Elephas maximus indicus: one gene and its partner. The protein of the gene in region 2 purifies or fractionates together with the protein of the main gene of each other region. This does not show direct contact. Links are inferred from orthologs where the notes say so. Each region holds a gene or a part of one and is shown on either strand. Other genes may lie near its edges.

Region 1 (7,361 bases), on a different chromosome or scaffold from region 2:
CCCACCCAAAGGCTTGTTTATCTACTTCAAAAAAATCAGCCATTGAAAACCCAATGGAGCAAAACTTAAAACAAAAATATCCCTGGAGTCTTCTTAAAACTAAACAATAATAATAATAAAAAAAAGATTAGCAAAACTAGTAAAGAATGTCTGCCTTGAGCATTGTGCTCTTTTAAGAACTCTCTATATGGGATCAAAGTGACAACAGCAAGTTGAAAGATTAGATATTCCTATCTAATCTTTAGGGGGCAGTGAGTCTATGTTAATGGGGGAGGAACAACTCAGAAAAGGAGGGTGAGAAGGGCTGCACAACTCAACGAATATAATCAATATCAACAAATTGTACATGTAGAAAGGGCTGAATTAGTGTAGGTATGTTTTCTGTGTGTATTATCAAAAACAACCACAAAATAAATTTTAAAAAAGAAAACCCAATGGAGTAAAGTTCTACTCTGACATACATCGTGTTGGTATAAGCAGAATGGCATTGACGACAAGTGGGTTGGTTTTACTACGTGCCAGGCACTGGGCTGCATGATGATGACAATGATATTGATGCGAAGTCAATATGTACTTAGATTTTGAAGCAACTACTTTGGCTTCTGCATGCTTGATGTTTTTTTTGGTTGGTTCTGTTTTGGTTTTTAATGCCTCGATAGAGATAGAAACAGACTCAAGGTTGTCGTGGTTTTTGAACTCAATGGATACGCACATTTTGACCATAGTCTCAGCAGCCAGTTGGAACAGAAACATACGTCAACAGTGCTAAGATTCTAGTCATCTTAATTTTCATGTTGAATTTGATCGTTAGATATAAATCATCATTTGAGATCAATAACCTGATAAAGAAGGTTGTCATGGATTGAATTATGTCCCCCGCCAAAATGTGTGTATCAGCTTGGTTAGGCCATGATTCCCAGTATTCTATTGTCCTCCATTTTGTGACTGTAATTTTATGTTAAAAAGGATTAGGGTGGGATTATAACACCCCTACCAGGTCACATCCCTGATCCAATGGAAAGGGAGTTTCTCTGGGGTGTGGCCTGTACCACCTTTTATCTTACGAGAGATAAAAGGAAAGAGAAGCAAGCAGAGAGTGGTGAACCTCATACCACCAAGAAAGCAGTTCCAGGAGCATCCCTTGGACCCGGGGTCCCTGCGCAGAGAAGCTCCTAGTCTGGGGGAAGATTGATGAGAAGGCCGACAGAGAGACAAAGCCTTCCTCTGGAGCTGACACCCTGAATTTGGACTTTTAGTCTACTTTACTGTGAGAAAATAAATGTCTCTTTGTTAAAGCCATCCACTTGTGGTATTTCGGTTATAGCAGCATTTAGATGACTAAGACAAAGGTCTTGGTATCTGGATACCTCCTAGAGGCAAAGACACTTGTTCGAGGTCATACCGCGAAAGCGGGGGTTTCCAAACCAGATCTGTTTGACTCCAAAGCCTGCCCTGTTAGCCACTAGCCTGTTAGCCTACTTTAGTCAAATTCTGTTTGAATTATCACTCCTTAGATCATTGCAAAGTTGTTTGCATAATTATATCTCAACATACTTCATTTTATGTCCCCAAGGACAAAGTCTGACCAGGTGTCATAGCCCATATCACAGACTGTGTTAAATTGCAGTCACCAGTTCATCTTCCCCACAAGATGATGAGCTCTGTGTTCCCCTGGGGGTCCCCAGCGCTCAGCTAGGACCCAGCATATGGTCCCGAGGGGTCTGGTCAATAACTTAGAAATGAAATGTTTCTGAAAAGCTCATTGTGAACTGCATTTTGGAAAATCAAATTTTATTTTAACCCAACTCTTCGTAAAGCGAAGAAATGCTGTAATTTTTTTAAATAAATTTGCATGTTCATATGTTGTGATTCCTTAAAGCTGCAGTGTGCCTTTCTTTATTCATTGGTGGGTCTTCTCTCATTTGCACATAAAAGATGCCCAAGTGCCTGGCACATTGATACTCAGTAAATATTTGTCGAAAAAATAAAACTAGATTTAAAAATTCATTAAATTAAATGCTGTCACTTCCCTACTTTCTACCTCTCTCCTTCTGCAGTTATACTCTCTGCTTTAACTAGGGAGCAGAATTTATGCAGAAGGGTGACAGGAGGGAGGAGGAACCCTAAATATCACTGAGAACTGCCCTCATTATTTAGATAAGGAAACAGGGCCCAGATTTGCCCAAGGAGACCCAGCGAGATGGTATCTAGTACGAGAAACCCAGATTTCCTAGCTTCCAGTTCTGTCCACTCTACCACAGTGCCTGTCATCTGCTCCTGCAGATGTACATTTTGGTTATAAGCATAAGGAGAAATGAAGGTCACAGTGTCCCATTTTATCTTCCTCAAGACATGTTTTGCAACATCAAAGACCAATTGCTTATCCTGATCACTGGAAAAAGTGTCTAACTGAGTTTATTTTAAGGTGTCAATGTTTATTGTTTTGGACAATATTTCAACATAATCTTACAGAAGAAGAAACACGGAATAAGAATGTCGTTGTTGTTGCTAAGTACCATCAAGTTGGTTCCAACTTATAGCAATCCTGTGTACAACAGAATGAAACACTGTCTGGTCCTGCACCACCCTCACAACTGCTGCTGTGTTTGAGCCCATTGTTGCAGCCACTGTGTCAATCCATCTCATTGAGGGTCTTCCTCTTTTTCTCTGATCCTCTACTTTACCAAGCATGATGTCCTTCTCCAGGAACTGGTCCCTTCTGATAACATGTTCAAAGTATGTAAGACAGGGTCTCACCATCCTTGCTTCTAAGAAGCATTCTGGGTGTGCTTCTTCCTAGACAGATTTGTTCATTCTTCTGGTAAAAAAAAAAAAAAGTTTTTTTTTTTGAGCCCATGGTATATTCAATATTCTTCATCAACACCATAATTCAAAGACATCAATTTTTCTCCCATCTTCCTTATTCATTGTCCCCCTTTCACATGCATGCGAGGCAATTGAAAATACCATGGCTTGGGTAAGGTACGCCTTAGTCCTCAGGGTGACATCTTTGCTTTTCAACACTTTAAAGAGGTCTTTTGCAGGAGATTTGCCCAATACAATACATCATTTGATTTCATGAATGCTGCTTCAATGGGTATAGATTATGGATCCAAGTAAAATGAAACCCTCAACAGCTTCAATCTTTTCCCCATTCATCATGATGTTGCTTATTGATCTAGTTGTGAGAATTTTTGTTTTCTTTATGTTGAGGTGAAATCCATACTGAAGGCTGTAGTCTTTCATCTTCATCCGTAACTGCTTCAAGTCCTCTTCACTTTCAACAAGAAAGGTAACGTCATCTGTATATCACAGGCTGTTCATGAATCTTCCTTCAATCCTGATGCTGCATTCTTCATATAGTCCAGCTTCTCGGATTATTTGCTCAGCATACAGATTGGGTCAAAATACAAAATAGAAAACAGCTGTTTACTCAGAAACAGTCACTGTCTTTCCTTATTACTCCCAGGATGAGGACGCTCTTGGTTCTGCTAACACAGGTTCTGACCCCCTCTGGGGTTCAAAAGAGAAGCTGTGTGGAGACAGCCATAGATTCTGCATCCAAAGACCTAAGTTCTGGTCCCACCTTTGACTCAAACTAGCTGTGTGATCTTAGGCTACTCCCTTCCTCTCACTGGGCCTCAGTTTCCTCCTCTGTAAAATGGGGGAGATGGGAAAGGGGATGGCTCTGAGGATCTCCGAAGTCCCTTCCAACTCTGTCACACTGCAGTTTTCACTGATATGTGGGACTGATAGTGCCACGTGGGACATCAGAGCAATAGAAACATTTTGGTTAGCAGTCAAGCGCTTAACCATTGCGCCACCAGGGCTCCTTTTCTCTCCCATACCCTCTCATAATGCTTTCTTTCTGCCATCATCCCTCTACTTCAAGTCCTATTTTGTCTGCCAGGACTGTTACAATGCCCTTCCATCTGGTATCCCTGCCTCCAGGCTTGGCCTCGCCATACTACAGCTCAAAAAGCCCCTATGGCTCCCAACTGCCTAGTAACTAAAACCCGAAATCAGACTTCAGCCTGTCTCTGCAGGATTGCTGCAGAAAAATGGACTGCTCCACGGTTTGATCCCGCAGCTAAATCCCTTTTAAAGATTTCCTTCATCCCTCCGCCGAGCGCTCTGAACACCTCCTTGCGTCTTTCCGACTCTGAGCGCCAGAGGGCGCTGCAGGGACCGCCGGCGCTGAGGGAAGAGACTCGGTCGCTCAGGCGTCCGGCGCGACCCGCCCCTTTACTTCCCTCCGAGCCAATCATTAGTCGGAGTGGGCTGAGACCGCGCGCCCCGCACCTGCGCGATAAGAGGGGGCCCCCGGGGAGGCGCGCCGGCCCTGCCGCGTACCCCGAAGATGCGGTCGCGGGCGGTGGGCGCGGCGCTGCTCCTGCTGCTGGCTCTCGGAGCGGCCGAGTCGAGGCACAGAGCCTGGCCACGACGGGGGGCTCATCAGCGCTACACCCCGGACTGGGAAAGTCTGGACGCCCGGCCGCTGCCCGGCTGGTACGACGAGGCCAAGTTCGGGGTGTTTGTGCACTGGGGCGTCTACTCGGTGCCGGCCTGGGGCAGCGAGTGGTTCTGGTGGCACTGGAAGGGCGAGGGGCAGCGCCAGTACGAGCTCTTCATGAAGAAGAACTACCCGCCCGGCTTCAGTTACGCCGACTTCGGGCCGCAGTTCACGGCCACCTTCTTCGAGCCGGACGACTGGGCCGACCTCTTCCGGGCGGCGGGGGCCAGGTGAGCGGTCGCCGGGGCCAGGGGAGCGATCGCGGGGGCCAGGTGAGCGGTCGCCGGGGCCAGGGGAGCGATCGCGGGGGCCAGGGGAGCGGTCGCGGGGGCCAGGGGAGCGGTCGCGGGGGCCAGGGGAGCGATCGCGGGGCCAGGGGAGCGGTCGCGGGGGCCCGGGCCGGCTGGAGCTGCAGGAGGTGGGGTTTGGGGACGTGGACACGGAGCGGAGGGAGGCGAGCCCACACGGATGTGTGCCTGACCCATATACTCAAGTCCTGTGTTTTGCTTCCTGAAGGATGCAGAATTGGGAAGCAAGAGAAGGTGCGTCTTCTTGGGGACTAGAAAATAAAGGTTGCAGGGAGGAAGTGAGCTGGAAAGCCCTCGGTATCTATAGCTTTATCTCGAGAGGATTGAGCAAGGTGATACCGGATGACCCTCCCAGGCTGACAGGACGGTCAGGATTCCAGGATATTAAACCAGTGGTATGGGTTCTACCTCAACTCTGAACCAATCTTCTGGTCCTACCTCAACCTTGGACAAACGGCTTCACCTCCCTGCAGCCCCCTTTGATGGTAGTAGGAAGGAGTTGTCCTAGGTCTTTTCAGCTCGAATATAATAGGATGGAAAGGGAGAGATGGGAATTCTGGAGTGTTTGGGAAACTGTATGGATTACATCTACTCTTCTCGGAGTCTTGTACATAGAATGTGCTCAAGCAGTGTTTGAATTGTGTTGAGGACTACTTGGCACTTGCAGGTGGTTGGTTCAGAGAAGCGCAAGCAGAGTAAAGAACCAAAAGCAGAGCACTGGGGTGGGGGAGAGGGAGACTAGAGCCTTGAGGTTGTTGAAGGCTAGGGCAGTCATGAAGGAGTAAGCCTTGAGGGCAGTGTATTGCAGGTCGTTAAGTTAGGGAGTGGTTCTCTCAACTTCTAGGAAAGCTGGTGGAACAGTGATTAAGCACTCAGCTGCTAACAGGCAGCAGTTTGAAACCACCAGCCAGTCCGCAGGAGAAAGGACCTGGCAATCTGCTCCCATAAAGATTGCTGCTGTTCTTAGGTGCCGTGGAGTCGTTTCTGACTCATAGTGACCCCGTGTCCAACAGAATGAAACACTGCCTGGTCCTGTCCCAACCTCACAGTCATTGCTATGTTTGAGCCCATTGTTGCAGCCACTGTGTCAGTCCATCTCATTGAGGGTCTTCCTCTTTTTCGCTGGCCCTCTCCTTTACCAAGCATGGTGCCCTTCTCCAGGGACTGGTTCCTCCTGATAACATGTCCAAAGTATGTCCTCACTTCTAAGGAGCATTCACGCTGTACTTCTTCCAAGACAGATTTGTTCATTCTTGTGGAGCCCATGGTATGTCCAGTATTCTTCATCAGCAACATAATTCAAATGCATCAATTCTTCTTCCATCTTCCATTGTTCAGCTTTCACGTGCATATAAGGCAATTGAAAATACCAAGGCTTGGGTCAGGTGCACCTTAGTCCCCAAGGTGACATCTTTGATTTTTAACGCTTTAAAGAGGTCTTTTGCAGCAGATTTGCCGAATGCAATGCATCATTTGATTTCTTGACTGCTGCTTCAATGGGTGTTGATTATGCATCCAAGTAAAATGAAATCCTTGACAACAACAAACTTTTTTCCATTTATTATGATGTTGCATATTGGTCCAGCTGTGAGGATTTTTGTTTTCTTTAGGTTGAGCCTCCATACTGAAGGCTGTGGTCTTTGATCTTCCTCAGTAAGTGCTTCCAGTCCTCTTCAGTTTCAGCAAGCAAGGTTGTGTCATCTGCATAATGCAGGTTGTTAATGAGTCTTCCTCCAATCCTGATGCTGTGTTCTTTTTTATGTAGTCCACCTTTTCAAGTTATTTGCTCAGCATACAGACTGAATGAAATCCATTGCCATCAAGTCAATTCTGACTCATAATGACTCCCTCTAGGACAGAGTCCTAGAGGAGTTGTGGAATGACATCAAGGACATCGTACGTGAAGAAAGCAAGAGGTCATTGAAAAGACAGGAAAGAAAGAAAAAAACAAGACGGATGTCAGAGGAGACTCTGAAACTTGCTCTCGAACGTCAAGCAGCTAAAACAAAAGGAAGAATTGATGAGGTAAAAGAACTGAACAGAAGATTTCAAAGGGGCTCTCGAGAAGACAAAGTAAAGTATTATAAAGACATGTGCAGAGAGTTGGAGATGGAAAACCAAAAGGGAAGAACACACTCAGCATTTCTCAAGCTGAAAGAACTGAAGAAAAAATTCAAGCCTTGAGTTGCAATAGTGAAGGATTCTATGGGGAAAATATTAAATGACGCAGGAAGCATCAAAAGAAGATGGAAGGAATACACAGAGTCATTATACCAAAAAGAATTAGTTGATGTTCAACCATTTCAAGAGGTGGCATATGATCAGGAACTGATGGTACTGAAGGAAGAAGTCCAAGCTGCTCTGAAGGCATTGGTGAAAAACAAGGCTCTGGGAATTGATGGACTATCAATTGAGATGTTTCAACAAACAGATGGAGCGCTGGAGGTGCTGACCCGCCTATGCCAAGAAATATGGAAAACAGCTTCCTGGCCAAATGACTAGAAGAGATCCATATCTATGCCTATTCCCAAGACGGGTGA
Region 2 (7,044 bases):
GCGGGAAAGGAAGAGCAAGAAAAGAGACCAGAGTTTGAAGACAACTGGTGGAGTGTGTTTACCTATTTCTGGTGAAACCAGTCTAAGTAGTTTAAATCTAAATGAGGCGATGGAGGACCTTTGGGGTAAGGAATCAGCCCAACCAAATCCCTTTCTTTTTATTTCATAACATTAAGGCCGAGGAGAGACAGGAAGCCTTCTTACCACAAGACTGAGTTTCCATGACAATTTTAACTAAAATCGCAACAGCACCAAGAGGTTTCTTGCTCTTACCTGGTGGCATGATCTATTCCAGGGGAAGCCAACGCTTCTGGCAGCCCTGGCCTTGTGTCTAGAAGAGCTGCTGCTAATGTTTTTTCTTGTTTTAAAGAATACTGGCAACGACATTTACATTTAGTATGCAGCACAAAGAAACCACATTGCGGCAGTCTGCTACTCTCCTTTGCTGAACACAATGCCCCACAGCCTTGTGGAGAGAGGAGGCACTCCATCTCCACTCCCCACACGCCTGAGGGTGCCAGTCCAGTCAGTCACTTGGCCTCCTCCTACCAACTCATAATCAACAGTCTGGGAAAGTTCTCTGGTTAAGCAGAGACAACCTGCTAAAACAAAGGTTGTGAGAGAGGGCCTAGAGAGAATAGTTCCCAGGAGGCAGAGAGAAACGGCTGGCAGGCAGGGGAAGGTTGAAAAACTGTGAGATCTGAACCATGCCCCTCTGTTTCCAAAGCCCTCAGTCCCATGTTGCCAAACCCAGTGAGGAAATAGAAACCGACCATCCCTCCTTCTCAGCCCCTATTTCACCCCCAAAAGCAACCAATCCATCAGTAATAAAAGCGTCAACCACTGCAGGAAAAAATCCTCTCTGTAACTCCAGAACTCCTCTTGAGTTCTTAACTACCCAGTTGACAAGAGTGAGGGGGTAGGTAACAAAATAGGAAAAGCATGAAAACCATGGAAGATGTTAACAGGCAAGAGAACATAACAGTGGTTCTATCAGGATATGAAAAAAGAAGAGAAGAGGGAACCATTAAGAAGCTGATGAGTGGAAAGGATGCAAAAAGCACTGCAGCCCCCAGGGAGCAGAGCTCCTTTCCCTAGTCAAGTTTTTGGCCTAGTAAAAGTTCTCCACCAAGAAGGGTGTGACAGGCAGGGGACTCTCCACAGAGGAGTCAGCAAGGGCAACCGGAGATGGTGAAAGAAAGGGGAGGGGTGGAAAGTGGACGCCGCTCAGCTCAGAGATGTGATGACACAGAAAAGGCTAAGGCTTGGGTGACAATCTACTGCAGTGATTGCCAGCAGGAGGGGAAGCCTGTGGGGTCCTGAGGCTGAGGGGTCCTTGCATGCTCAAGAAACTAGCATGCAAAGTTCCTGGACTGGGAGTTACAAAGATTAGCCAATAGGAAGGGGATGCAGAGAGCCACATGTGGGTAAAATAAATATCATGTGAAAAAGGCAAGAGACTGACATGGAGATGAAAAGCGATACTGATTAAGAGGCATAATAAGGAAGATGCAGTGAGTAGTGAAACAGGAAAGCCACAAGCAAAGGGTAAGATACTATGAAAAGGGACAGAAACAGGAGGGACGAGACAGGAAGGCATCATGGTTTGCGTTGCTGTTTATGACAACGCAAGGCAAGGCCGGTGATGCAGCGAGGGACGGAAAGGACTGAGCAACAGGTTGTGTTAATACAGTGGGACTGAAATAGCAAGTGCCTTTCCGCCAGTAGGAAGAGCCCCGGGAGAAGGCTGGTAAAACACTGCCAGTGAGGAAGAGGAGGCAGAGGGGCAGAAACGTCAGACCCCAGGGAGGGTTACACGAGGGATCCAAAGACTCACAAGAGAGTGATAACTGGAACGCCGATGACAACCTGTGGGAAATCTATGCGCATGGCAGCCGTATGGGAAACACGGAAGCAACAAATGCCAGCGCCAGGAAACAGAGCGCTCCAGGAGAAAAGAAGGGAAAGTGATGAGCAAAGAGTAGGCGAACGACTTGGAAAGGTGATGAGGGTGGAGCTGGTGGGTTGCAAGCAAGAGGGAGTGCACAGTTTGGAGAAGGAAGAAGCAGGGTAGAAAAAGCTGGGGAACTGAAAGGGGATAGGAATCAGAACACACTCCGGGGCAAGGACCCTGAGGGAGAGAACCGGGGACTGGGAGAACCGGTGAGGGCAGAGGGGAAGCCAGACTAGGGAGATGGAAGAAGGGGTGGACAAAGATCTGTGACAAATCGTGGGGTGCTATTCGAGGAGCAGGAGGGTGGCTGCTTTAAGCGTGGGTGGAGAAAGACCAGAAAGGCCCCTGAGAGAAAAAAAGGAAGAGAAAGGGAAGCTGGGGATGTGACACGGAAGAGCGCAGGAGGGCGGTGAGAGGAAAGGGGGGCTGGCAGAAAGACAAGTGTGCAGCCTGCAGTCAGGACGAGGTGGGTCCCAGGACAGGACTCGGAAGGGGGATGTGCGGGGCCGGAAGCCAGATGACAGGGCAGCCGAGCTTGCAGGATGGAAGAGGAGGGAGGAGGCTCCGTAAGGTGCAGGGGCCCAGCCAGAGAATTCGGGGAGCCCTCGGGGCTCCTTACCTGCTCCGTGTCCCTCTCGTTCAGCGTGGGTAGGGGGGTCCGGGCGCTGGACATGGCGCCGGTATCTCAGGGGAGGGAACCGAGAAGCTTGGAGGAAGGGAGGGAAGGAAAGGCGCGGAGCCCGGCCGGGCGGGGCTTCTCACAGCAGGGGCACCCGCCGCATGGGCCCCGGCCGGGGGTGCGGGGAGGCCGGGCAGCCGCTCACGCCAGCCCGGGGATGCGCCGCTCGGGCTAGGCCGCGCCGGCTCCGAGCGGCTCCGGACCGCACCCCCCCGACCCCCGGCTGGGCTGTGCCGCCTTTCGGCCGGGCCGCGCCGCTCCGCCTACTCTCTGCCGCCGCAGCCGGCCGCCTGCCTCGCTCCTCCCCTGCCCTCAGCGGCACTGCTCCGCGCCCGGCACACAGGCTGCCGCCGCCGGACCTGCTGCTCCCAACATGGCCGCCACCACCGCCGGCCCTCGGCTCTTTCCGCCGGCAGCAGCCGGAAACATCCGAAGCGACCAGGAACGGGAGGGGGGCGGGCCTCCTCCTCCCAGCCACGAACTACGGGTGAGTTCCGGAAACACCCGAAGAAGGTAAGCCCCGGGGCGCGCGCGCCTCTTCGACTCCGAAGCCCAGGTTTCGACTCTGTTTGCGGAAATCCACGAAAAAAACTCCAGGCGCTCCAGAGCCATCCAGCCACGCCCACCGGCCTTTCCCCGCCCACTTCAAACCGGCTCTCGGTAGTTTTCGGAAACACCCGAAGCACCTCCGCGTGCTGTGAGTCGGCCACGCCCCCGCCCCGCCCCGTAATCGAGGGCGGTCGTCGCCCATTTCCGGCAACACCCGAGGCGGGGCGAAAGTCCGGTCGTCCCCCGGGGTGGTCAGAGTCTGTCTCTTCGTTTGTTTCCGCCAGTTTTCCGGTATTTTCAAAGCTTGAACATGGAGCGTGGGCAACCGTGCGCGATTATTTGACTAAGTAGAAGAAATAAAGCTGTTAGCCGTTCCTGCGATTGGCCCGTGTGCGTGTCCGTTCGTCCCTCTGTCAGTCAGCTCCTAAGATCCATCTTCGCGTTTATCATCCAACCTATCTATCAACGTGTGTGTCACCTGCCACATGCAGCCTTAGTCTATTACCTGTCTGCCTGCCATCCGCCTGTCTTGGCTTCTATTTATCCATCCATCCACCTAGCCCCACAACTAGTCAGGGATCCTCATGGTCCCGGGCAGACACCAGGTCAGCGTCCTTCGCACCCAGCTGCGGGGGGATCCGGAGGTCCCCCCAGCAGAACACTCAGAAAACAGGAGCCCCAGCCCGAGCTCTGCAGAGTGAAACTGCTGTGTGATCTTGGGAAAATCACGTAACACCTCTGAGCTTGGCCCCACATCCGTAAACTGAGAATCCATGCCTTTGTTCCAGCATTGACATTCTAAATAATATCTTTGAATTCTACTTACCATTTTAAGCGTCACTGCAAGATTGGATAGGAGAGACTTTCTCATTCTAATGCACATTTCAGTTATCCCATCTAAGACAGAGAAAACTCATGGGAAAGAGAAACTGGTTGAAAATGAGAATTCCTCAGGATGGCACAAAGAATGGGCACCAGAAGTTCCTTTCTTTGTCTGGACCTATTTCCCCAACAGTAAAGTGAGGTCATGGGATTCACGAGTTCTGAGGACCCTCCCAGCTTAGGAGAGTCCCTGACTTAACAGGAAGCCCATGTGGGCAACCCGAGCCCACTCCTCACCTCCCCCTGGACCTTTTCACCAAGGAGAGGCTGTAGACAGGTCTGATTTCTCTGGCTCCAAGCTGCACCCACCCATCATACTCCGGACATGTTGGAACTTGTCCATCCTCCTCATGCCCCGGGGCTCAACAGCCGCTTAAGGTGGGCAGGAGCCAGCAGCTTCACAGGAGCCAGAGACCAGACTCAAGCAATACATCCTCAAAGGTACAGAAGCAGAGGAGGCTCCAGCGGTTATGGAGAAGGTGCTGCTTGGGCCTCTGACATTTGACTTTAACTCTCAGGTGGAGCATCTGAGTAGAGCCCTTGGCCACATAAGTTAGAGAAATAGGCAGCCAAACAGATGCAACGGGAGGGGTGTGAAAAATACTTCCTAAGGCAACAGGTACAACCCACAGTCTTAATAATTGCAAGAGACTCTTGGACACCTCTCCACACCCCACCCTACCTCCATTCAGGCACCCAGCCATTGGGGAAGAAGTTGATGATGAAGCACAAAGGGAGGTGAGGAAAAAAGAGGAAGAGGTAAGGAGAGCGTTACCTCCCACTCCCCCTACCCTAATTTCCTCAAAAAATTCATGAGAATAATCTGCCCTCTGGTGGCCAAAGGGAGACAGGGACCACATGGTGATTGCTGTGCCAGATACCACCTCTCAGGCCTGGGGCAGGAAAAGGAAGGGATTGGAGGAGCAAAGGAAATGGGACTCAGGGTCTCTCCCTGGCCCATGCTCATCTAAGTAAATTTTACCTCCTCTATGCTTCTACTCACTCAAGCTGTAACCCCTGCCTCACCTCTGCCCTCTGACTGCCAGCCCTCCCCCTTCCCACCACCCACCCCATCTTTGGCTGAGCTCAGAGCTGCCTGTGGTCTCCCTTGACTCCCAACCTACCACACCAGTCATGCCAAAATAATCTTCCTACAGTCCAGCTCCAGTCCCATCTCTGCCCTGCTAGAAGGTCGTCGCAAGGTCTCCTGTGGTCTAGAGACAAGGCTGGCTTCATGGGCGTGTGACTTATGCAGTTGCACAAAGCCCTGCTCTTAGAAGGGCCCTGTGCTTGGCTTAATGCTTTCATCATCTTGACATTTTAAATAAGGGGGCCCCCTGCGTTTTCGTTTTGCACTGAACCCTACAAATTATGTAGCCAGTCCTGGCTGTAGGATAAAGCCTTTAGCCTGCATTTGAAACTTTGCACACTCTCACCTCAACTTACCTTGCTGATATACTTTCCAGCTAGGGATGATTGCTTGACCCCTCCCCTACTCCTGCCCTGTTCAGGCTGATCCCTTCACCTGGACTGCCTGTCACTGACCCCAGCTCCCAGATGCACTCCAAGATCCAGGTCAAATGACACCTTCTCAAATCCCCGAGGCCACCTAGCCTTGCTTAAAGATTAATTATTGCCACACTTACCCCTCTCTAATTTGCAGATTAATTCATTTACTGAATAAATTTCTATTGACATCTGCTATGTGCAAGGCACGGTTCTAGTATACCAGCTAACAAAACAGAGAAAGCTCTCTGCCCACGGGGAGCTTTACACTGCCCATAGAAGGGAAGACAGGTGATAAACATAATGGAAATGCCATGGCGGGGAAGGGGAGAGAGAGAGCCAGGTAAGGGGGATCAGGAAAGCAGGGGGTGGCAAACAGGCTGCAGTACTAAGGTGGTCAGTGTAGGCTTCACTCAGAAGGTGACATTTAAGCGAAGACTTGAAGGAGGTGAGGGAGTGAGTCTCAAGGAAAAGCATCCCAGGGAGAGAGAACAGTCAGTGGTAAGGCCCTGGGGCAGGAGCTAACCTGGCCTGTTTGAGGAACAAAGATGCCAACAAGACTGGAGGCAGGTGAGCAAGGAGATGAGTAGTAGGAGATGAAGGCAGAGAGGTGATGGGGATCCAGCCCTGGAGGGCCGTTGCTTTGGCTTTCCCTCAGAGGGAGATGGGAGCCTGTCATGAATTGAATTGTGACCTCTAAAAGTATGTGTCAACTTGGTTAGGCCATGATTCCCAGTATTGTGTGATTGTCCTCCATTTTTGTGATTGATGTAATTTTCCTATGTGTTGTAAATCCTAATCTCTGCTGTGGTTAATGAGGTGAGATTGGGTTATGTTAAAGAGGATTAGGGTGGGATGTAACACCCTTACTCAGGTCACATTCCTGATCCAGTGTAATAAAGGAGATTCCCTGGGGTGTGGCCTGCATCAGCTTTTATTTTACAAGAGATGAAAGAAAAGAGAAGTGAGCAGAGAGTTGGGAACCTCATATGATCAAGAAAGAAGCACTGGCAGCATTGTGTGTCCTTCGGACCTGGGGTCCCTGCACTGAGAAGCTCCTCCACCAGGGAAGATTGATGACCAGTACCTTCTTCCAGAACCGCTAAAGAGAAACTTTCTCCTGGAGCTGATGCCCAAATTTGGACTTGTAGCCTACTAGACTGTGAGAGAATGAACTTCTCTTTGTTAAGGCCATCCGCTTGTGGTATTTCTCTTACAGCAGCACTAGATAACTAAGACAGCCGCTGGAGTGCCATGCTCTCACCGATTGCTAGATTGAGAATGAAGGGACGGACAGGGCAAGAACAGAAAACTGGAACCAGGAAGGAGGGTTTTGCAGTAACTCAAGTGAGCAGTGACAGTGGCTTGGACCAGGCAGCAGCAATGAAAGTAATAAGAAGTGGTCAAATTTCGGATCTATTTGGAAGGGGGAGCCAACAGGACTTTGTGATGGGTTGGGTTTGAGATACGTGAG

The links. Proteins that work in one complex are often made in the same cells at the same time.
Region 1: the proteins of MARK2 (region 2) and FUCA1 purify together in Homo sapiens (affinity purification with mass spectrometry; 3 studies listed by BioGRID and IntAct, counting the BioPlex papers as one, with this or other methods). This does not show direct contact. The link is inferred for Elephas maximus indicus from reciprocal best matches to the Homo sapiens genes MARK2 and FUCA1.

What each region holds. Positions count from the first base shown.
Region 1 is NC_064821.1:64,260,454-64,267,814, reverse strand, and holds the start of FUCA1 (tissue alpha-L-fucosidase), read left to right. Parts: upstream 1-4,284; 5' UTR 4,285-4,360; coding exon 4,361-4,743; intron 4,744-7,361. UniProt on the Homo sapiens protein: Alpha-L-fucosidase is responsible for hydrolyzing the alpha-1,6-linked fucose joined to the reducing-end N-acetylglucosamine of the carbohydrate moieties of glycoproteins.
Region 2 is NC_064825.1:127,036,909-127,043,952, reverse strand, and holds the start of MARK2 (serine/threonine-protein kinase MARK2), read right to left. Parts: upstream 3,182-7,044; 5' UTR 2,628-3,181; coding exon 2,574-2,627; intron 2,556-2,573; exon of another isoform or gene 1-2,555. UniProt on the Homo sapiens protein: Serine/threonine-protein kinase. Involved in cell polarity and microtubule dynamics regulation. Phosphorylates CRTC2/TORC2, DCX, HDAC7, KIF13B, MAP2, MAP4 and RAB11FIP2. Phosphorylates the microtubule-associated protein MAPT/TAU.